2 linked regions of the Elephas maximus indicus genome follow. The protein of the gene in region 1 interacts with the protein of each later gene in a pairwise test. Links are inferred from orthologs where the notes say so. Each region holds a gene or a part of one and is shown in the gene's direction. Other genes may lie near its edges.

Evidence for each region. The genes of interacting proteins can lie anywhere in the genome.
Region 2: the proteins of SUV39H1 (region 1) and CBX5 interact in binary tests that used the Homo sapiens proteins (3 or more experiments, as listed by UniProt). The link is inferred for Elephas maximus indicus from reciprocal best matches to the Homo sapiens genes SUV39H1 and CBX5.

The regions. Positions count from the first base shown.
Region 1 is NC_064846.1:122,904,957-122,915,384, forward strand, and holds the start of SUV39H1 (histone-lysine N-methyltransferase SUV39H1), read left to right. Parts: upstream 1-5,239; 5' UTR 5,240-5,297; coding exon 5,298-5,322; intron 5,323-7,237; coding exon 7,238-7,383; intron 7,384-8,607; coding exon 8,608-9,270; intron 9,271-10,428. Other genes in the region: actin nucleation-promoting factor WAS, read left to right, coding at 108-163. UniProt on the Homo sapiens protein: Histone methyltransferase that specifically trimethylates 'Lys-9' of histone H3 using monomethylated H3 'Lys-9' as substrate. Also weakly methylates histone H1 (in vitro).
Region 2 is NC_064822.1:109,772,785-109,784,157, reverse strand, and holds the start of CBX5 (chromobox protein homolog 5), read left to right. Parts: upstream 1-6,599; 5' UTR 6,600-6,735; intron 6,736-11,373. Other genes in the region: HNRNPA1 (heterogeneous nuclear ribonucleoprotein A1), read right to left, coding at 2,305-2,360, 2,538-2,693, 3,327-3,479, 3,706-3,780, 4,115-4,207, 4,289-4,381, 4,467-4,677, 4,799-4,945 and 2 more. UniProt on the Homo sapiens protein: Component of heterochromatin that recognizes and binds histone H3 tails methylated at 'Lys-9' (H3K9me), leading to epigenetic repression. In contrast, it is excluded from chromatin when 'Tyr-41' of histone H3 is phosphorylated (H3Y41ph).

The DNA.
Region 1 (10,428 bases):
TCATTCCCCAGCACCATGAGTCCTGGCCTTTCAAGCCCTAGGAACTACCCTTCCAGAGGCTCCATCCTGAGTTCCCACTCCATGTCCTTCTCTTTCTCTCCCTCCAGATGAAGGGGAGGACCAGGCCGGTGATGAGGATGAGGATGATGAATGGGACGATTGAGCTGCTGTCCCCAGTGTACCTCCCCATAGTCCACCTGTGGCTCCCTGCTTCCCACTGGCAGCACCCTACTGTCTGCATCCAGGCGCTAAGCGCTGTTTCTTCCCAATCAACCCCCTACCCAGTGCTGTTATCCCTGACAGGCCCCCACACTCACCCTAGCAATAGCCAGGCCCCTTTTTGTATGAAATTTCTCAATCCTCCTCACTCATTTTTGAAACAAAGATAAAGTAATTGTCTTTTTGTCTCTCTAAATCTGAGTTTGCTTATATTCCAAATGTGGTCCCTGTTATTTATCTAGCTTTACATATATGCCTTCATTTATTCACTTAGTCATTTAGCCTGGTTTTTTGTTTCCTTCTGTCCTTCTTTCTTTCCACAAACATTTATTGCCACTGACTCCTCCCCTTTCCTCCGCGACATCCTCCTCCAAAAAAGGAGTAACTCAAACCTGTCCCTGTGTTTGAAGCTCTTCCCAGGGGAGTAATTAGAAACTCTTGCACATTAAAGCCTAAAATCAAAGAATTTAACCCTTTGCATTTCTGAAATCTGGTAGATTTAACATCTCAGGTATCCTACCTTTAGAGAAGGAGGAGGAGAGGGGCAGGAAGATAAAGGTGAGGGAGAATCCAGGTTTCCAAGAGCAGCAGAAGAATTTCTGAACCATTGAGGTGGAGGTAGAGGGAGAGGGAGGAAACCAGCTAGACATTGGGGGCATTGGGGATAAGATATCAGGAGTGGGAGCTGGCTTTGCCCCTTAAAAATTCTCCCAGAACCATGTAAGGGGAAATTCCCCTTGAGGAGGAGGAGGGGGCGTGTCTCAGGTTTCTTTTAATTTTTGAAATATTTCATTATTCCACTCCCACCCTAACCAGCCAGGCTCCCAGCATGAGCACTGAGTCTAGAAAGGACCTGTCAGGTATCAATTACCCCCTCCCCACCCCTGCAGAAAGCCTAGAAATCCAGTGCTCCAAGACATCTCCCTTCTGCTGGGTGCTAGGGCCGTTTCTCCACCTTTGGATAGGAAGGCATCACCCAACCTCTGAATCCCCTTGAGCATGGGCTAGAGAAGGCAGAGACTCGAGGTGAAAGAATTGACCGTGGGTGAGTTACTTGACCTCTTTGGGCCCCAGTTTCCTCAGTCTTTAAAATAGAAATAAAAATGCTTACCTCATAGGGCTGTATTGAGAATTAAAGTAGATGGTGTCTGCAAACTGTCTGGATCATTGTAGGCATTTATAAACATTAGCTGCCACTATTGTTGCTGTGGTTGTTATTGTTATTACTGAATTTCACTGACTCTGACTCACCATTGATTTATAAAATTATAAAATACACCATTATTTTATGGATCACTAAGAAAAGCAAAAAAAAAAAAAAAAAAAAAAAACCTACCAATTAAATTATGACCCAACAGTGCTTGTAAGACACAGGCTGATTTCAGAGATGTTAAAAAATTAAACAGTTCTGGAGGCCTGGCTGGTTATGTTGTTTCTTGACCTGCCTTCTGGTTCTACATGCGTATTCACTTGTAAAAACTCTTCATGACATTCTCCCATGGTCTATGTACTCTTCTGTATGTGTGTTACACTTCACCATGAGGTTTACATTAAAAACAGGTTCAACCTGTGCAGCTTAAAATGGATAAAACCTTATGCCCTCAGCACTAAGAGAGGCAATATACACAAGAGGCACTGGATTAATGCTGAACAAACAGACAAATGGCTTTAGGCAGGACACAGGAGTACTAGGATGACCTCTTACTTTTGAGGTCTCCTGAAAAGGTGCTAGTCCCAAAGGGTTAACTAGTCCATAGGGTTAACTTGTATAAGGTCACACAATTTAGTAAGTGGTGGAGCCAGGATTTGAACCCAGGCAGTCTGGCTCCAGAATCCATGCCTTTACCCGATACATTATATTGTTTGGAGAGGCCCAAAGGAAGCTCTTCATCACTAGCAGACCCCTATAGCTCCCCTCCAGATTCAGGTGGAAAAAGGTCATGCCTTAAACCACTCTTGTGGGTTGGGCAGGTCTCCAAGGCCTCTGGAAGTGGGATGGCCCAGGCCACCCAAGGAGACTGGGGCACGTGAGGACCAGCATGTGACTCTGTTCTAGAAAGAATAAAGGAGGGAAGGGGCATGCCTGGTGGGATTACGCTTTTGACTGTTACACTTATGGTAAGGAGGGGCTGATAGAACGTCAGACTGACCAGCCATTCCTCCAATCAGCTCACAGCTGGACTAGCAGGAAGACAGAATAACTGGCTAACTGTATAACCATTTGGTTAACTGTGCAACTCATGGACCAACAGGGAGAGGGGCAATTTGAGGAACTGACAATGTGGTTTCCTGATGCTGTGAAGTACTGAACATCTGACTGACTTACAGCCCGCCTGGGCCTGGCTGGGGCTGGTGGCCTGACAGTGTGGAGGACAAGGAGCCTCCTGAAAGAGTTACAGGCTGACCAACTGACTGATGGTGTTGCTGCCGGACTGGGAGGCAGGATGTTACAGGGCTGAGGGAATGTCTAAATGTTATAGTCTGATGATGCGTAAAGAAGGGCTACGCTGAATTTCAGGTTGACTGATCAACAAATCTGTGGTTGCCTGATGTTGTTGTTATTGTTAGTTGCCATTGAGTTGGCTCCAAGTCATGACAACCTTAAGTATAACAGAATGAAACATTGCCTGGTCCTGTGCCATCTTCATGATCATTGGTGTGTTTGAGCCTATTGTTGTGGCTATGTGTCAGTCCATTTCATTAAAGGTTTCCTTCATTTTCACTGACCCTCTATTTTCAACCATGATGTCCTTTTCTAGTGACTGCTTTTTGGGATGACATGTCCAAAGTAAGTGAGTCGGAGTCTCATCCTGGTTGTATTTCTTCTAAGACTGATTTGTTTGTTCTTCTGGCAGTATACAGTGTATTTGATATTCCTTGCCAACATCACAGTTCGAATGCATCAATTCTTCTTCTGTCTACCTTTTAATTGTCCAGCCTTTCCATGCATATGAGATTGAAAAGACCATGGCCTGGGTCAAGCACACCTTAGTTGTCAAAGTGATATCTTTGCTTCTTAAAACTTTATGGAGGTCTTTTGGCTGATGGGAGCCCTGGTGGTGCAGTGGTTAAGAGCTCGGCTGCTAACCAAAAGTTCAGCAGTTTGAATCCACCAGCTAGCTGTTCCTTGGAAACCCTGTGGGGCAGTTCTACTCTGTCCTATTGGCTCCCTATGAGTCAGAATCAACTTGATGGCAATGGGTTTGGTTTGGCTGATAGGCTACTATATATGGTGACTGACTGTTATGGATTGAATTGTGTCCCCCAAAATGTCAATTTAGCTAGGTCATGATTCACATACTGTGTAATTATCCACCATTTCATCATCTGATGTGATTTTCCTATGTGTTGTAAATCCTACCTCTATGATGTTAATGAGGCAGGATTAGAGACAGTTATGTTAATGAGGCAGGATTCATTCTACAAGATTAGGTTCTTTTGAGTCAATCTCTTTTGAGATATAAAAGACAGAAGCGAGTAGAGAGACAGGGGGACCTCATGCCACCAAGAAACAAGAGCCAGGAGAATAGTGTGTCCTTTGGACCCAGGGTTCTTGTGCTGAGAAGCTCCTAGGCCAGGGAAAGATTGATGACAAGGACCTTCCTCCAGAGCCAACAAAGAGAGAAAGCCTTTCCCTGGAGCTGGCATCCTGAATTTGGACTTCTAGCCTACTAGACTGTGAGAGAACAAATATGTCTTTGTTAAACCCATCCACTTGTGGTATCTCTGTTGTCGCAGCACTAGAGAACTAAGACACTGTTCATCTTGAGTGAACCACAGCATGCTTGAGGGCCTGGATGGTTGCTCTGACTGAATGACTCTCTGACAGACAGTGTGGTCAGTTGGATTCTGAGGATGACGAACCGGCTGACTGACAATATGATGAAGGACCAACTGAAGGAATCACAGGCTGCCTGACCATCTGAAAACTTAGCATAACTGCCTCACTTGGTGGCTGTACATGGTTATGGACTGTTTGCCCTGATGGAATCACAGGCTCCCTGATAGAGCCCAATGGGTCACAGGAGATTGACTGACCGGCCAATGGTGTGGATAAGTAGCCTGAGAAATTACAGACTGGCTGACCTATTGACGGGTAGTGTGGAGGCTCTATTGTACCATTAGTCGCTGTGACTATTTGCTCTGAAGGCCTAGCTCGGTGTTAAGACTGATTAACTGGCTGATCATGGTGTGAATGAGTAGCAACCTGAGGGAATTACAGGGTGACAGGGCTATGTTAGATGCTGAAAATGACAGCTTGTCCTGACCTAATCACAGCCTGCCTAAGGGCATGGCCCGATGCTGTGGCTTACTGAGGGGTGTATGAGATGATTCCTCCAGGTCCCAGGGCAAGGGTACGTGGTATGACAGGCTAATTGACTGACAATGTAAAGGAGCGGTCAGGCTGGCTAACAAGGGGAGTTGGTAGTAAGTGCAGTCTGAGTTGAGGGCATTGCAGCTGGCCTGAGGACACAAATGGATGCCGCTACTCCCTGACAGACTGATAGGGTGTAAGGGGGGTGGGGTGTCTGACTAGACAGCTGTGGTGACCTGAACTGGGCGACTGGCTGATTGACAGTGCTAACTGGGGGTCTGACAGGACGGAGAATCCGCCTCTACGACTGTTAACAACGTGATTGGCTAACAGCGTGACAGACAGACCCGCGTACAGGCAGGGCCTCCGGCAGCCCCAGCTACCGGTGCTGCCGCTGCCACCGCCCAGGCGCACTCTGGGAAACCGAAGGCAAGCACCCGCCTTCGGGACCGGTGGGGTGGCGGGGAGGGGTCCGGTCACGCTCGCCGGTTGGTCCGCGCGGGCGCCGCTCGCTGCGCGGCGTGGCCAATAGGCTGTGCGTTCTCGGCCACGCCCGCGCGAGCTCTCTTCTCGCGAGGCCGAGTAGGCCCGAATGTCGTTAGCCGTGGGGAAAGATGGCGGAAAATTTAAAAGGTGAAGCGGTGGCGGCAGCGGCGCAGGCTCGCTGGCAGGGCCGGGGTGGGCTGGAGGGATGGCGCAGCGGGCTCAGGGGCCCGGCATCCGAGGCCACGGAGCCGGCAGCTGGAAGCCTGGCGTGGAAAGGATGGGGCTCGGGGAGCGCGGGCCTGGTGCGCGGGGCTGGGCGGGGCTGTGGGAAGGGGCGCGTGTCTCCGAACGTGGCCGGCGCGGGGTGAAGGGCGGGCGCGGGATGGGGCGGGCGTGGGAGCGCGTGCTCCAGGTCGCGACTGGACCGGCGCGCGTACGCGCAGGGGGTCGTCCGGGAGGCCGCACCCGCGCGCGGGAAAATGGGCCGCCGGTGACCGTTACCCGCCTGGTGCCCACGCGAGATGCCGGAAAGGGAGGAGAGGGAGCCCGACCCTTGGGTATAGATGCTAAGTGATCCACTCAGTGGGGGGACAGGGTACTGTTCAGGGGTAAGCAGGGAAGGAGTTTGGAGTAGAGTGGACTCCCCCAGGATGGGGGGAAGTGGATTCCCCAGTGTGCAGGGAAAGGGTGATTTTCTCAGTATGGAGGGTGGTGGAGTGGGCTCCTCTCTGAGGAAAGCTGCGGGGAGGATGAGAGACCACAAGTGTGGCGGTGGGGGGTGGGGGGACCTCTGAGGGCTAGGAGAGTGTAGCCAGGTCAGTGCCAAGTGCATGCTGGAGCCAGCAGCTGGCGATGTTAGTTGGGACCACTTGAGATGGGGGGTTTTGAATACGAGTTAAGGGGTTTGGAAGGGAGAGGGCATCACAGGGAGGGGAAAGCCTGGGCCTAGGCCCAGAGCCTGGAAGGGAGATACAGAGTTGAAGAGTCTAGGCCTGCCTAAGTGGAGGAGGGAAGTGTACATGAAATAATTTTGAAAAGCTCTTGTATATTTTTAGGTTGACATACTTTATCGTGAGTTTAAATAAACTTGATTTTTGTAATGGGAGGTAGAAAATGTTAAACACTTAAAAACTATAAAATAGGTGTTGTGAAATGATTTGATAAAATGACTTCTAAAACAATGTGGAATCAAATATAAATCTTTATTTTTTTAATCAGTGTGTCCTAAAAATTTTTGGTAGCCCCAGAAAACATTCCAGGCATATTTAAAAGAATCATCACAAACATATACTGCTTTGCCTATTCCTGAATTCAGAACATACCCATTTGGGCCAGCTTTACCCTTCACAGAAATGTGGATGAAGCAGGGAAAGTCAAACCACAATGTGAAAAAAATGCAGTGGGGTTTAAGGTACCAAGACTACTCATTCAAGGAAGTTGCCTGTAATCTACCATTCCACATTTATTAAAAATTCTGAAATCTAAAAAATCCTGAAAACTGAAATCTTTTTCTTAAATTGGGCACCATTCAGTGGCAAAACTAGATTATAAGGTAGAACTATTCAGTGCCACTATTTTACATTTTTATTTCTCCTATTTAATGTGAAAATTCTTACTTTTGCTGTAGATATATTAATGCATTTGATTATGGCATGATACCCTAAGTACTGGGGGTGTTATGGTAGATACATGGAAATACATTTGTAAAAAAAGATTTTTTTTTAAACATATCTGCCCCCCCCCCCCCCCCCCGCCTTTTCAGATAAGACATTGTGGACCAGTCTTTCCAGTTTTGCCTTTGTTTTGTGCCCTGGAGGTTTTAATTCTCGCCCCCACCACCTTCCCCTTAGAGCATCCTACTGAGATGGGGGGGTTGTTCCCTTTCTTTTGTAAAGTGAGGAGAAGGGTGCTCAGATTCCGAACTCTAGGCAGGTTTGCTGGAAGTTTTAACAAATAGTAAGGGAGTTAGAAGCTCTGGGAATTGATTCCTTTAGGACAGACTTTGAGGACCTCTGCTCCAGGGGTAGCCTTGAGCAGTGAGCCTTGGGGTTCAAGGAAATGGCACATTTTGGTTATAGAAGGGTCCCAGCTTTCGGAAAGGCCTGTGGATTAAATCTGACTGAGGCAGTCCTTGGAAAGTCCCAGGGAGGATTTGGGGTCCTTTTGGGTGCCTGGCCAGGCTACCCAGTAATAGTTCTTCCTGCCCCCTTGTTCCAGGCTGCAGCGTGTGTTGCAAGTCTTCTTGGAATCAGCTACAGGACCTGTGCCGCCTGGCCAAGCTCTCCTGCCCTTCCCTCGGTATCTCCAAGAGGAATCTTTATGACTTTGAAGTCGAGTACCTGTGTGACTACAAGAAGATTCGTGTGAGTCTGGGGGTGACCGTGATCCTGGGCCGGGGAGGAGTGTCTCAAGGGAGTAGGCTTCTTGCCCTCCTGCCTCCCACTGCCTGCATTTGTTTTCCAAACGGAATTTTCTCCTTCGATCCTAAAAGATGTCTCATGTCCATTTTACAGGTGGGGAAACTAAGTGGCTTTCTGAGGGGGCAGAAGCCAGAATGAATCCCCAAATAAGTCTTTCTTCCCACCTCCCTAGGAAGACAAACCAATTGCAAAGATTGAGAATACTTCTTAGATGCTGAGCCCAGGAGTGGAGATGATGATAGGTAACAGTTACTGAGTACTTTCAGTGTGCCAGCCACTTCCTAAGAAACTCATTTAACTCCCCTAACTGTGAAGTGGGAACTGTTACTGTTGCTAGAGGAGGTTAGTGAAGGATAGTTAAGACTAGAGCCAGCCTGCTTGGGTTCCAATCCTGGCTGTGTAACCTTGGGCTACTTTCCCAAACTCTCTGTACTTCACTTACCTGATCTGTAAAATGGGGGTGATAATAGAGTGTTGTGAGGAATAAATTAGTTAATAACGCATGGGACCTGTTACCTAATGAATGCTAGTAAGATGTTAGCTATATTCTTATTTACAGATGAGGAAACTGTGGCCCAGCAAAGTTAAATGACTTGCCTAAGGTCACACAGCTAGGGCATGGCAGATCTAGGATTTGTACTCAGGGTATCTAACTCTCAAATCTGTGCTATAGGGGGTGAGAGTGGAAGCCGGGGGACACAGCCCAGGCAAGCAATGATGGTGGTGGCAGTGAGGATGGTTTGAAGTGGTTGGATTCTGGAGGTATTTTGAAGGTTGGGCTGGCAGGATTTGCTGCAGGTGGTTGTGGGGAGTGTGAGAAAGAGAGTCAAGGATGACCAGGAATTTGAGCTCAGCAGGTAGAAGCATGGAGCTGATGTTTACTGAGATGGCAAAGATGGTGTGGAGGGAGTAGGTTTAGGAGATTAGATTAATGGGATTTGGACAGGTAGTAGTTAAGTAGGAGAGTGGAATTTGAACCTAGTAAATCCTCACTCCAAAGCCCATGCTTTCTAATCACTGTATGGATTAGAAAAGGGCGGAGGGGAGTGATGTGGGCAGAGGGGAGTGATGTGGGCATTATCCATATGCTTTGGAGTGGAAGTCCCACAAGGGCTGGCACAAGGGTCTCACCACTTATAGTGCTCTTGTCCCTTTGCCCCCCAACAGGAACAGGAGTATTACCTGGTAAAGTGGCGTGGATACCCAGACTCAGAGAGCACCTGGGAGCCACGACAGAATCTCAAGTGTGTACGCATTCTCAAGCAGTTCCACAAGGACTTAGAAAGGGAGCTGCTCCGGCGACACCACCGGTCAAAGCCACCTCGGCACTTGGACCCAAGCTTGGCCAACTACCTGGTGCAGAAGGCCAAGCAGAGGCGGGCACTGCGGCGGTGGGAGCAGGAGCTCAATGCCAAGCGCAGCCACCTGGGACGCATCACAGTGGAGAATGAGGTGGACCTGGACGGGCCTCCTCGGGCCTTTGTGTACATCAATGAGTACCGTGTTGGTGAGGGCATCACGCTCAACCAGGTGGCTGTGGGCTGCGAGTGCCAGGACTGTTTGTGGGCTCCTGCTGGAGGCTGCTGTCCAGGGGCATCACTGCACAAGTTTGCCTACAACGACCAGGGCCAGGTGCGGCTGCGAGCCGGGCTGCCCATCTACGAGTGCAACTCACGCTGCCGCTGCGGCTATGACTGCCCCAATCGCGTGGTACAGAAGGGCATTCGCTACGACCTCTGCATCTTCCGCACAGCTGATGGCCGTGGCTGGGGCGTCCGCACACTGGAGAAGATCCGCAAGAACAGCTTTGTCATGGAGTACGTGGGAGAGGTATGGAGATGGGGCGGTACGTGTGTATGCGGCTTCTCCCCCTGTGTGTTTCCAGTGTGTGTGCCCACACAGTGTGTGCCTTTAATTAGTCCTGGGGCTTTTAATCAAAGTGTAATAGCGACGCCCTGGCAGGGCTAACGTTCCAAGCTGGTACACACCAGTATAGCCATTGAAATACATCCAAGCTGGGTTGATTTCATAGAGGTACCTAGCAAAGAGGAAAAATGGGGACTGAAATTCAGGCAGCATTCCTTTTAATAGGCCATGTGGTCAGGTATAGAGTTGCATCCTCTGAAAAGGTACTTCCTTTTCTCATTTCACAAGGATACCATCTTATCACCAAGTAGTGTCTGCCTGGAAGGGGCACCTTTTACTCATTTGCACAAAAGAAATACTGATGGTCTGGAGGAGAATGTAGACATGCTTTGGACAGAGGTTGAGCACAGCCTCCTCTAGACTTTCAGGACACTGAGGAAAGGGAGGGTATATAAGGCCTGCTAGCCACTGTAATAAACCACTCCTAAATCTTAGTGGATTCTCGTGTTAGAAGTTTGCTTGCTCATGTAAGAAGAGTCTATTGTGGGTATTTGGACGGGCATCCTTTCACACAGTGACTTGAGGACCTGGGCTCTTTCCCTCTTGTGCCTTTGCTGTGCTTTAGAGCCTTGGAGTCTACCACTCAGCATTGCCCAGAAGTGGGGTGAGAGCGTGGAGGATAGAAGGGGAGGTTTGTAATGGGTCAGACCTGGACAGTGTAAATCACTTCTGTGCACACTCATTGCCTGGAACAAGGGAGGCTGGGAAATGCACTTTAGCTGTGTGCCCAGGTGGAAAACAAAGGGGGTTGGGGTGAATAACTAGCAAGTGTCTGCAACAGAAAGTGTCACAGTCTAAGGTTGTATTTCTCAATGGAGTGGCAGGCATTTTGGGTGGGGCAGTGCTTTGTTATGTAGAACCATTTCATGCGTGGGGGTGGGGAATTTAGCATCCATGGACCTTATTTAAATCCATGTGTATGTCTTGGCATGGTGACCACCCAAAGTACCTCTGTGTATTTCCATAGGTCCCTTAGGGGTGTGACTTGGTTGGGAAGTGACAGAAACTGGCTTAAGGAACACACACCTGAGGGTGTCCACACTGAGGAACAGTAGAGTAGAA
Region 2 (11,373 bases), on another chromosome or scaffold:
ATGCATTACTTTGAGCCGTTATTTTAAGAGGTAAAAGGAAAGTAAAAATCAAAATTAAAGGGTAAAAATATATCACAGTGTAAGTAATTTAATTACAGTAGAAATAATTTAAGTGCTCACTTCTTTCAATTGAGAGCCAGCAAGACTAGGGCATTGATTTACAGTTCATCTCCAGAAAAACCAAGTTCAGCTTAACCGGACTAGTTTTTTTTTTGGCTCAATATAGTAAGAAGCATTTAACAGAAAATTGGATTTTAGATAACTATATGGATGTAAGTAAAATCTGTTCTTACCTACCAGCATAGCAATAAAACCTTTCCTTCTGGTTCTGACTGCTAGTCCTAAGAGTCAGGTGTGTGCCTTACTCTTGTCTGCCTCCTTCCTTGCGATGGTCACTGAAACTTCACTCCCTCCTAGCTTTCATGGAGCGAGCCGTGCCTGCCCCTGGCTTATCTGTACTTCACATACCACAAGTGTCTACTCTCAGCTGTAGAGTGTCTGAGCTCGGAGCCATTCGCGCTATTACTTGCTAGCAGTTCCTAGTAGCTGAACATCTCTCCTGGATCTTTAAAGGCATTGTCAGGAGTCCTGAGGTATCTGCAAACTCCCTCAACAGTTAAGGTTTCACCTGCTATTGCAAACTCAGCCAATACCAAACCCACGGAACTATCATCCATGCTTCCCCCCCATCCACCACCTCCCACCCCCCCTCCACCCTCCTCCCCAAACTTTAAGCAACACACCCATGGGATGAAATACACAGTCCTATTGATTGACAAGCTCTATTACTACTAGGTACAATGGCACTGAAATTGAGAGGGCACCAAAATGAAGGTTCAGAAGAACCTACGTACAAATAACAATTATCGGATATTAAGTAACCAATCGAAGATTTAAGAATCATTTTCTATACAATTAACACTTCAAGATGGTTGTGTGCTCCTGTGCCATATTTAAAGGAAAACTGCAGTTAAGACAAATTTATATGGCTAACAACTATGTTCTTTACCGTTACTAATTTTTTAAACTTCCAGCGAACTGTGCTTAATCTATACAAAGATTCACCCAACCACAACCCAGTAAAAAAAAAACTGCAGTTTTCCTTTAATGTAAACCTATTTCTTAATGTTGAGAATAAAATTTGGTACTGGTCTTATTCTAAAAAGGTCTCTCCCAATGCTTCTAATCTGTGGACTTAAGGGGTAGCCATTAGCCAGCTGGTCTCTATTCTCTGGCAGAGTTTTGAACGAGAATTTGGAAGGGCATTCAACATTGCTCAGGGATAGTGGGTAGGGTACGTCCAAATCTCTGCCAGTCCCAAATCCATACAGTTGTCATATCATTCAAGATATTAAATCGTTTATTGATTACACACGATAATGGATACATAAGTTTCAATCCCATCTAGTTTTGTCTGGTACCGTTATTCAATTTAGATATATTGCATAGGATGTGCCAACAATCATTTTTATAACCAAATAAATCCCATAATTTTGCTTGGGTGACCACTGTAATGGTGAACTCCAGGTCACAACTCAATAACCGTCAGTTCAACTACACCAAGGTTTCTGAAGACAATGGCTTCGCTCTGCCCCCAAGCAGTCTTCTAAGGTTGTAAATAAATATTGAATGGAACCTGGCATCACCCTGAAGGAATTCTAAACTTCACACTGTCGGGCCAGTTTATCAAGATGGCTTCAGAGTAGACTAACTTTACACAGCACACTTAAAAAAAGACACATTTATTCAGCGTCATGATCAGACTATTACATTTAGCAATCAACAGCATGGGTGAAAAAAAAAAAATCTACATTAAAACCCTTTGTTGGAATGCTTTACACTTTCCACAGAACAGAAACTAAAATAACCTGTTATACAATTAGTCACAAATACAGTCCTCGAGTTTTTTGCCCATACACATGAGTATTGTCTAAAACATGTCTTCTTTGTAGCAGCTAGGCCCTGCCACCACTGTGCTTGGCTGAGTTCACAAATCTGTTGTAACCTGTAGCTTCCCTGTCACTTCTCTGGCTCTCCTCTCCTGCTAAGCTTTGTTTCCTGTTGAACAATATGGAATAAAGTTGTTAATCTAAACATATTAAGACTCAAGACTACAATCCAATAGCAAGTTGTTTCCCACAAATTTTGCTATTCTGAATATTAACTTAATATCCATCCACAATTTTACTGCAATTATATTAACTATGTTGCAATGCTCAGCTACATTAGGGTTACTGGGTTCATTTGCAATTATAAAAAAAATTAAGTCAAAACACGAAAAGGTGCTTACTTACCTGGCAGTCATTAAAACCTCCTGCCACTGCCATAGCTACTGCTGCTGCTTGAACCGCCATAGCCACCTAAAAATGAAATTTAAGCTCTAATTTTCTCTCATTTGAGACAATGATACATACGGTAAATCACAAGTTCAAGAGAACATTTAAAAATGGCCCTTGCCTAACTTTGCAAGGGAAGTGCTCCCTTTACCAGTGTACTAACTATAGCTACAATTAGCCAATATTACACATACACAATACCTTGGTTTCGTGGTTTGGCAAAGTATTGACCTCCACCACCATAAGGGCCAGAGCTTCTGCCTCCAAAGTTTCCACCCTTCATGGGTCCAAAATTTGAAGACTGATTGTTGTAACTGCCAAAATCATTGTAGCTTCCGCCACCTCCAAAATTGCTTCCTAGGAAGGGAAAGAGGGCCTTTGTCTGTTACTTGGAGGAAGATCACAGTTCCCAGTTCTGTTAGTGTTTACAAGTGAAAAAGGCTGTTTTGACATTTGCTTGCCTTCCTCCCAAAGGGTGGCTCCACCCAAAAGGTGGCTCCAGTAATTGGTAATTCTTCCATTTCCATCTTGTCTAGGCAAAGCATTATGTCGAACAATCCAGCAGCTTGATTATCAACCCAAATCGCCGTAAGATTGAGTGTCAAAAGTTTTAAAGCACAAATTTTAAGAACTTTGTTTCTAGCCTTGAAGGCTTTCTTTTTTTTTTCTTTTCACCTAGGACCACTGCAGACAAGTTTCTTGGATATATCAACTAAGTGCCTAAGATCCCAACAGAATAGTTAAGATGCTAAATCCTGCAACGGAGGCTAATCTAACCCCAAATGAAGACACCACTATCCACTTACTCATCTTTTTGGGAGTGAGGCGGCCCCAGCTTGAAGCTAGGAGGTAGCACAGCAAGTCCATTTACTTTTGAATACCATGCACTGTAACACATAATGCTTCTAAGAGCATCAAGCCCCAAAATAATGGGCAAACTAAGGCTAGTCTAAGCTATCACACCAAAGACTTGGATCACTGGATACCTACCACTACCACCGCCAAAGCCGCCTCCGCCTCCTCCGTTGTTATAGCTGCCACTCCCGCCATAGCCACTGCCCTGGTTTCCATAACCCTGTCCACCACTTCCATAGCCTCTGCTTCCTCCAGAGTAACCAGGACCGCCTCCTCCTCCATAACCACCTACAAGAATACAATTCTTCTCAATAAGACAAAAGTATTCAATGATCAGTATCTGTGCAAGCGCAATGGCTAAAGCCTGCTCACAGCATGCATATTATGGTGAGAATTGAGCTTCCCATGCACTAATTTTAGTCTCTACTAATCTACTCTAAGGATAACGGAAGACTGCCTGCATGTTCCTTATACATATAAAAAACCCACAAATGAACCAAAAAACCATACTCACCGTCATTACCAAATCCGTTATAACCGTCCCCACTGCCTCCATATCCACCACCACCACGGCTGCCACCAAAGCCACCTGAAAAAAGTTAAATTTTAAACGGCAGCCTTTGTTTTGTAAAACAAATCGCCAATCAGTGATTTCACTCATTACCCAGAAGAACTTTTAAAAATAAAACGGGTCTAGTGGTTAAGCACTTTGCAGCAGCAGTTGGAATCCACCAGCCTGCTTTTGTGAAACATTTAGTCTCGGAAACCCCACGGGGCATCTCTACTGACCCATAGGCGTTAGAAGAATAGTACTGAACTTGATAGCAGTAGCTCTTTAGTTACATATTATCATAGATTGCAAAATGGGTGTTAACCTGGGGTAACTAAACTACAAGTTTACTGGAAACTACAATCACACATACCACGCCCACTGAAGTTTCCTCCACGACCAAAGTTGTCATTCCCACCAAAACCACCTCCACGGCCGCCACCAAAGTTTCCAGAACCACTTCGACCTTAAGAAATTAATCATGTCAGACCATACAAACTGGATTACTCACTATTACCCTTAAGGTTTAACTGAGCAACAAACACACCTCTTTGGCTGGATGAAGCACTGGCCATCTCTTGCTTTGACAGGGCTTTCCTTACTTCACAGTTGTGTCCATTCACAGTATGGTATTTCTGAACTAAAAAATGAAAACAAAACCTTAAGGTTCCAAATACCAGGTGAATTTTAGAATCCTTAGTAAGCTCCAGTCATCTAATACTTACTGACAATCTTATCTACGGAGTCATGGTCATCGAAAGTAACAAAAGCAAAGCCCCTCTTCTTGCCACTGCCTCGGTCCGTCATGATTTCAATCACTTCAATTTTCCCATACTGCTCAAAATAATCTCTTAGATGATGTTCTTCAGTGTCTTCTTTAATGCCACCAACAAAGATCTTTTTCACAGTTAAGTGGGCACCTGGTCTTTGAGAGTCCTTAATAGGAAAAACACCACTTAATTATTTAGCAAAAGCTACCCCCAAATTGAGAACATGAAATTAAAAACTAAAACCCACTTAGTGGCACATTTCCAAATAGCTAAAAGAGAAAACTTACTTCTCGTGAGACAGCCCTCTTTGGTTCCACAACTCTTCCGTCTACTTTGTGTGGCCTTGCATTCATGGCTGCATCCACCTCCTCCACAGTAGAATAAGTAACAAACCCAAAGCCTCTGGAGCGCTTGGTGTTTGGATCTCTCATTACCTGAAAAATTTAATTCACTTAGCACATGCTAAGATCCCAGAAGCTATCATCACTCCTACGTTAAGCAAGAAAACGGAAAACTTTATAGTAGGGTAACTACAAAGCCCTCTAAGTTCTCAGTACTGCTTGTGGGGAGTCGAGACCCTATAAGAACACCTGAAGAATCAAACCATTAACAAAATCATACCTTCCAAACTACAATCCTATCAACAATCTTTACATTCAAACACGAACTACGGAAATAACAAGCCAAGGCGGTCTTACTACTACCCTTTTGTCTTACCACACAGTCCGTGAGCGTCCCCCATTGCTCAAAATGGCTCCTCAAACTCTCATCCGTTGTTTCAAAGCTCAAACCTCCGATGAAGAGTTTCCGCAGCTGTTCGGGCTCCTTAGGAGACTAATGGTGGAAAACAGGTGTTAAGTTAGGCTATAAAACGATACTCAGTTTCCCGTTCAGACACATAAAACTAGGCAACAACGTACATAGCATTTATTGTTCCTTCTGGCTGCTCCAAGCCACGTGCTTCTCCCTATCAGGGGTGGCGCTGTGTTGAGTCTGCAATATCCGCGAGAGCTCAAGCTCAAGCGCATGCGCCCCTACGCGCTTTAAAACGCACGCGCAACAATAGGACTTGGCGGGAGGAGTATGTCGCCAACCTAATACTAGAAACTTTAAAAAAACAAACAAACAAACAAACTTGCCCATGCAATCAAGGGAAAAAACAGATCAATCGTGACGTAGAGTTCTGCCGGACTTAACCAGAGCCTGGCCTGATAACGAATGGTTGCCGGATGGCGGCCTCATGGCGACGACGAGGACAAAATGGCGACTCCAACTTTGGGAGGGGTAAGCCCTGGCAGCGGCCGAAGGAACTGCCGCATGGGCTAATTCGAGCGATGAAACGAAGCCGAAATCTACGGAACTCACGAAGGGAAGAGGAACAAAATGAAGTTGATAAGGGTAGCTTACCTCTGACTTAGACATGACGGTAGTAAGAAGAGGTTACTTAACGATGTTCCCTCGGCGGCGTCCACAAGCAGAAAGGAGTAACCTACCGCACGTATCTGCCAGCCTACCTACGGCCTCTCTTTTTTATCCCGCCTCCTCGCTGTCGGCATTGGTAGACACCGCCCCTTCTTAGTTCTGATTGGACATTTGAAATAGCTTCCTCCTACTATTGGTCTATGGTGCCGCACTGCTATGAAACGTCATCCGTTTGGGCGGTCTACGCAGTGTCCACCCCTTGTAGTTCATTGGTTACTGAGTCGTGATGTCTTAACTAGTCTGATTGGCTAGCGGACCTATCATTCATATTTGAAGGTACTTAAGCGTATTTAAACTTTTGGACGCTCCACTCTTCAAATATTACATTCAATTCCTTTTCAAAGCACGCTTACTTTTGTGCGTTAGATAAGAATTTAGACTGTTACAAAATCTTTCGGGTGGGAGGGGTGAAGACTACCTACACAGCGCATGTTAAAAAAAAAAAAAAATACGGTGAGTTTACGCAGGCGCACTAAGAAGTTCCAGCTGCCACTTGGAACATGTGAAATGGCGGTGGGAGAGGCGGTGAACCTACGGCGCCTGCGTACTGGCGGGAGATGCGCAGGCGTAATGGGCGGAGAAAGGGTCCGGTCTCAGGATTGGTCGCGCAGGCGCAGGGAAAGATCCGTTTTGGCGGGCGGCTGGCGTTGCGCAGAAGGCGGCGGCAGCGGTGGCTTGTGGTCCGGCCTCGCCACAGAGGAACAGGAAAGACGTTAGCCTGAGTGATCACTCTCGATCGCTGGTAAGTGCCAGACAATCTTGCCTACCCGTACGAGGTCTTAAATGGATTTCAGCTGGGCCCGTTATTGTGTGAAATGAATGGACCGCGAGGTGGGGGATAGCGGAGGGGGAGCGGCGATTTGGCCCAACCAATAGAAGAGTAGGGGGCGGGATGTTTTAATCTATGTGGCTTCGTCGGAGCTGTACAACCCAAGCGTGTGACTGGCGAGGTTATAGGCCAATTGGGTCTGCCTTCAGCCACCGACTGATAGGTCCTTGGGCCTTCGGAATGTGGGGGGCGGGTTTTCCCCTCCTGAGTAGCGGCTTACTGAACCAATGAGCACGAAGCGCGCGATAGGTTGGGCTCCATCCGAGAAGCGGGGATCGGACCCCAGTTGGGAATGCGGGAGTCGGGCGGTAAATGGATGGACCAAATCTGAAGCCAGTAGGCAAATCGTCCAATCAGCGCTCCAAGAGAAGGAGTCTTACATTTGGGGTTGTAAGGAGGGGAATTCAAAGCCTGTGACGGTGTGTGGGAGTGGATATTTTATCCACAATGACTTCTGTAACGGCGCCTTGAGCCTCCATCCCATACACCTCCCTGGTAGGAAAGCCTTGAATTTGGCATTTTTTCCCACATCGGTACATCCCACCATCCATCACACTAGGTTTTGTGGGAAGCAGGAGAGAAATTTTGATTTGGGCAACTAGCTTCTTTAGATGACTGTTAAAACGAACGGGAAACTTCTGTACGCTGTCCTGGACAGGCATCAGAGGAAAATCTAAATTATGCACGTTTCTATGGACAAATAGATTTGTCTGTAAATACACAGAAAAAGTTGTGGAAAGGTACACAGCAAAGTGTTACTTCCAGGGATATAGTGGGATGGAGGTGGGTTGGGTTGGTCAGTGGGCACTTAGATCTTAATTGTAATATTTAAATCTTTGGAGGGATAATTGTGATTAAGATTAAATGAAAAATAAAGGTAGCTCTTTTTGTGTTTCCAATTGTAATTCAGGTACTTCTCACCACTTCTTTCCTTCTTACACCTCTAAAGAGTCTTGTTTTTCCTTTAAGAACTAAGGTGAGTCTTTTTGTTTTTAGAGGTAAGCGCTCTGATTTTAGTTTTTTTTAATATATTTTATTGTTGTGAATATGTATAGCAAAACATACCCCGATTCCACAGTTTCTGCATGTACAATTTAGTGACATCGGTTACATTCCTCTAGTTGTGCAACTTGTTCTCACGCCCCTTCTTTGAGTTGTTCCTCTCTCAACATAAATTCACTGCATCCTAAGGTTTTTATCTAATCTTTTAAGTTGCTGTTGTCACTTTGATCCCATATAGGTGATTCTTAACAGGGCATAATGCTCAAGGCAGACCTTTATCTGAAGTGATTCTTGGTGTGAAAATAATAGGTAACTTTTTTTGAGGACTTAGTATGTGCTAAGCACTTTACAAGCTTTTTCTATGTCTCCGATGCCTATATTTTGGAAACCCTGCTGGCGTAGTGGTTAGAAGCTACAGCTGCTAACCAAAAAGTCAGCAGTTCAAATCCACTAGGCACTCCTTGGAAACTCTATGGGGTGGTTTTACTCTGTTCTATAGGATCACACTAGTTTTTTTTTTTTTTTTTTAATAGGATCACAGGATTGTTATGAGTCAGAATCGACTTGACAGCAAGGGGTTTGGTTAATGCCTATATCTTAGTCTCTGAGGAATTTTTGTCCCTATATCCTTTTTTTTCTTCCCACACTTTTAAAGATTTTTAGTCTCTCTTTGTTATTCCTTTGACGATGTCTGAATATGGAGAAGAAGGAAGCTGCTTAAGGAGGGTTATATTTAGGTGTTGGGGACAGGAAGACCCATACATCACCTGGATACCTCATTGCCTATTCATTATATTTTCTTCTAGTTTTTTTTTTTTTTTTTAAACAGGACCCATCTATGAAGCAATGTTTATTCCAGGATGTTTTGGAAAAATATATAAATTTTCATTACATATTGGCTGTATCAGACTCTTTACTGCTTTATTATTCACTGATTTATTTAAGTCGAGAGAAAAATACTAGGTAGTGTATGGTGATAAACTTGACTGCATATGAGGTACACTTTAGATACTTTTCCTACTTACTGCTCCCCCAAAATGAAAAATTATTTTCCTTGAACTCATAATGAACAGAGATTTCACATTCTCTGGCACTTGCAAAACAACAAAGTTATAATTCTATCTGTAGATATGGTACGATGCAGTTGCTTAGCTTGTAAGAACTGAAGTGAGCTGAGTTTAGGGTGTTTGTCCCCAATTTATTTAGGTTTAGAAAGAGTACAATCTTGACCTAAAACAGGGTTTCTCAACCTTAGCACTATTGACATTTTGATCTGGATGATTCTTTATTGTGGGGGGGCTGTCCTGCGCGTGCCCTGGTAACGCAGTGGTTACGAGCTCAGCTGCCAACCAAGAGGTTGGCGGTTCAAACCCACCAGCCGCTTCATGGCAGTCTGTTTCTTCAAAGGTTACAGCCTTGGAAACCGTGTGGGCAATTCTAGTCTGTCCTATTGGGTCATAATGACTCAATGCCAACAGGTTTGTTGTTGTGTGTTTTTTTTCCGACCTGTGTATTGTAGAATGTTCAGCAGCATCTTTGGCTTCTATCCACTAGATGCCAGTAGCAAGTCACCTATGCTCCTCCCCACCCCCAGTTCTGACCACCAAAATTTCTCCAGACCTTGCCAGATGTGATGGGGAGGGGGCAAAATCTCCACCAGTGTTGAAAACTGTTGTTCTAAAATGAGAGATGCTGGAGTTGATTATCTCTTCAAAATATTTTATTTTACCCACTCAAAATTAAAGAAGGGAGCAGATGAAGTGTTTAGGGAGTGGCTTAAGTTTTCACTATTGCTTTCAATACAAACATATTGACTGCATCTTGTATTGGCTTCCCAAAATAATTACAAATATGTTTTTGAAGAAGGTAGATTTTGCTTCAGAGGCTTCTTGCATTTTCATCTGATTTAGCTCTCTTTCCTTTCCTGGGATTCTTTTGGATCAATGTCTCAAACTTTTTTGACTTAGACCCTCAGTAAGAAATACATTTTGCACTGACCCTGTACACAGATTGAAGAAAGTTTCAGTAAACAACTACATGCGCAAAGCACTCTGATATTTTCTCATCTGCAATCTAGTATTTCATTTTCTAAACGCAGGTCAGTTTCCACCGAACTGATTTCACAGCCTACCACTGTACAGACTCACAGTTCTAGGAAAAACGAAAACACTGAACTTAAGAATACAAAATTGTGCCACCTTATATATTCTCCGAGGGGATTACGCTCTCTCTAGCCCCAGGTACTCAGATTTATACACAGTTTCATCTCGATCCCCTCAATTGATGTATTTATTGGTGTATTTTGCTTTGAAAGATTACAGAACCTTTTTCCATGGTACATGAGTAAAAATTGCCTGTTTTATTGTGAATTCACTTCCAGTATGATAGTTAATACATCTGATGGACATTTGTCTTTGGTGGGGAAATTTAAATGGCTAATTTAAAGAGTTGAGCCTGTATTAGAAAAGTTAGATTTAAAGCACTTGTGCTTAGAATTTAGAGTCGTACTGTTGCAGCAAAACCTAAAGAATTGTTTACTAAAAGGGAAAATCACATGTCTTCACTGGTCTGTCTGAAAAGTAACCTGGAATTTTCTTAGTAGGAGAACAGCAGGATGATAGCTGGGAAATAGAAGGAACATACATTTGAAGTGACTGGAGTTAAATGTTTAGGAAAATTCTGGAGACTCAGGGCCCTTAAAAGTAGCTCTAGAAAAGAGAAAAAGGTATCCAGGATACAGAGGCTTCTGACAAAGACTAATGTTTTTGTTGAGGAGTTAAATTTAACCATGTAGCATGATTTCCATGTTTTGTTGGAATGACCTGTTTAATAACGCCCCACTGTTAAAGCATTTTAGGTTTTGTTGATCCTTTTATTTGGTCTGTTTTTAAGCTGTGCTGTGGGTATTGATTTTAAAAGTTATACGTGACAGTGGGAGATATCACCTGTAACTGATTCTGTATGGCTACTATTTACGCATTGTTATCCATGAACTTGGACTCTGGGCAATCATCTTTTTTCCCTGACATAAACTTTGATTTCCCTTCCCTGCTTATAAAGGATGGCTTTTATTGATAACTGTACCAATGGGAAGGAGTCCAGGTCATCCTGAGAAGAGCTGGCTTGCACAGAGTCCAAGATACAGATTTGTTGGATTTCTGTAAGCCATTTGAAGCCACGGATTCATTTCTGATGACAACTTTACACTTGTGTTGGCAGAACACCCACAGTGACAACTGCTGCCTATGTTTAGTCTGTCCAGGAGCTCTACCAGTGAGCGTGTTTAGGGAAAAACCTACACTGTTCTTGTTCACAGCTATGTAAATATTAGACCTATTTGAGTTTCTCTTAGGTCTGCCAATTTTTTTTTTTTCCAAACTGCGCCTGTAATTGCCTCAGTTTACCCTTTGGAATGAGGGAGTGAACATTTTGGGCATTCTTTGCATCGCTTGAAGCACAGTTCTTTTCAAATCAGTAATTAACGTTATGTATGTCCAGTTTTGTGATTTTTTCAATTTCCCTGTGTATTAGTTTCCTGTAGCTTTTATG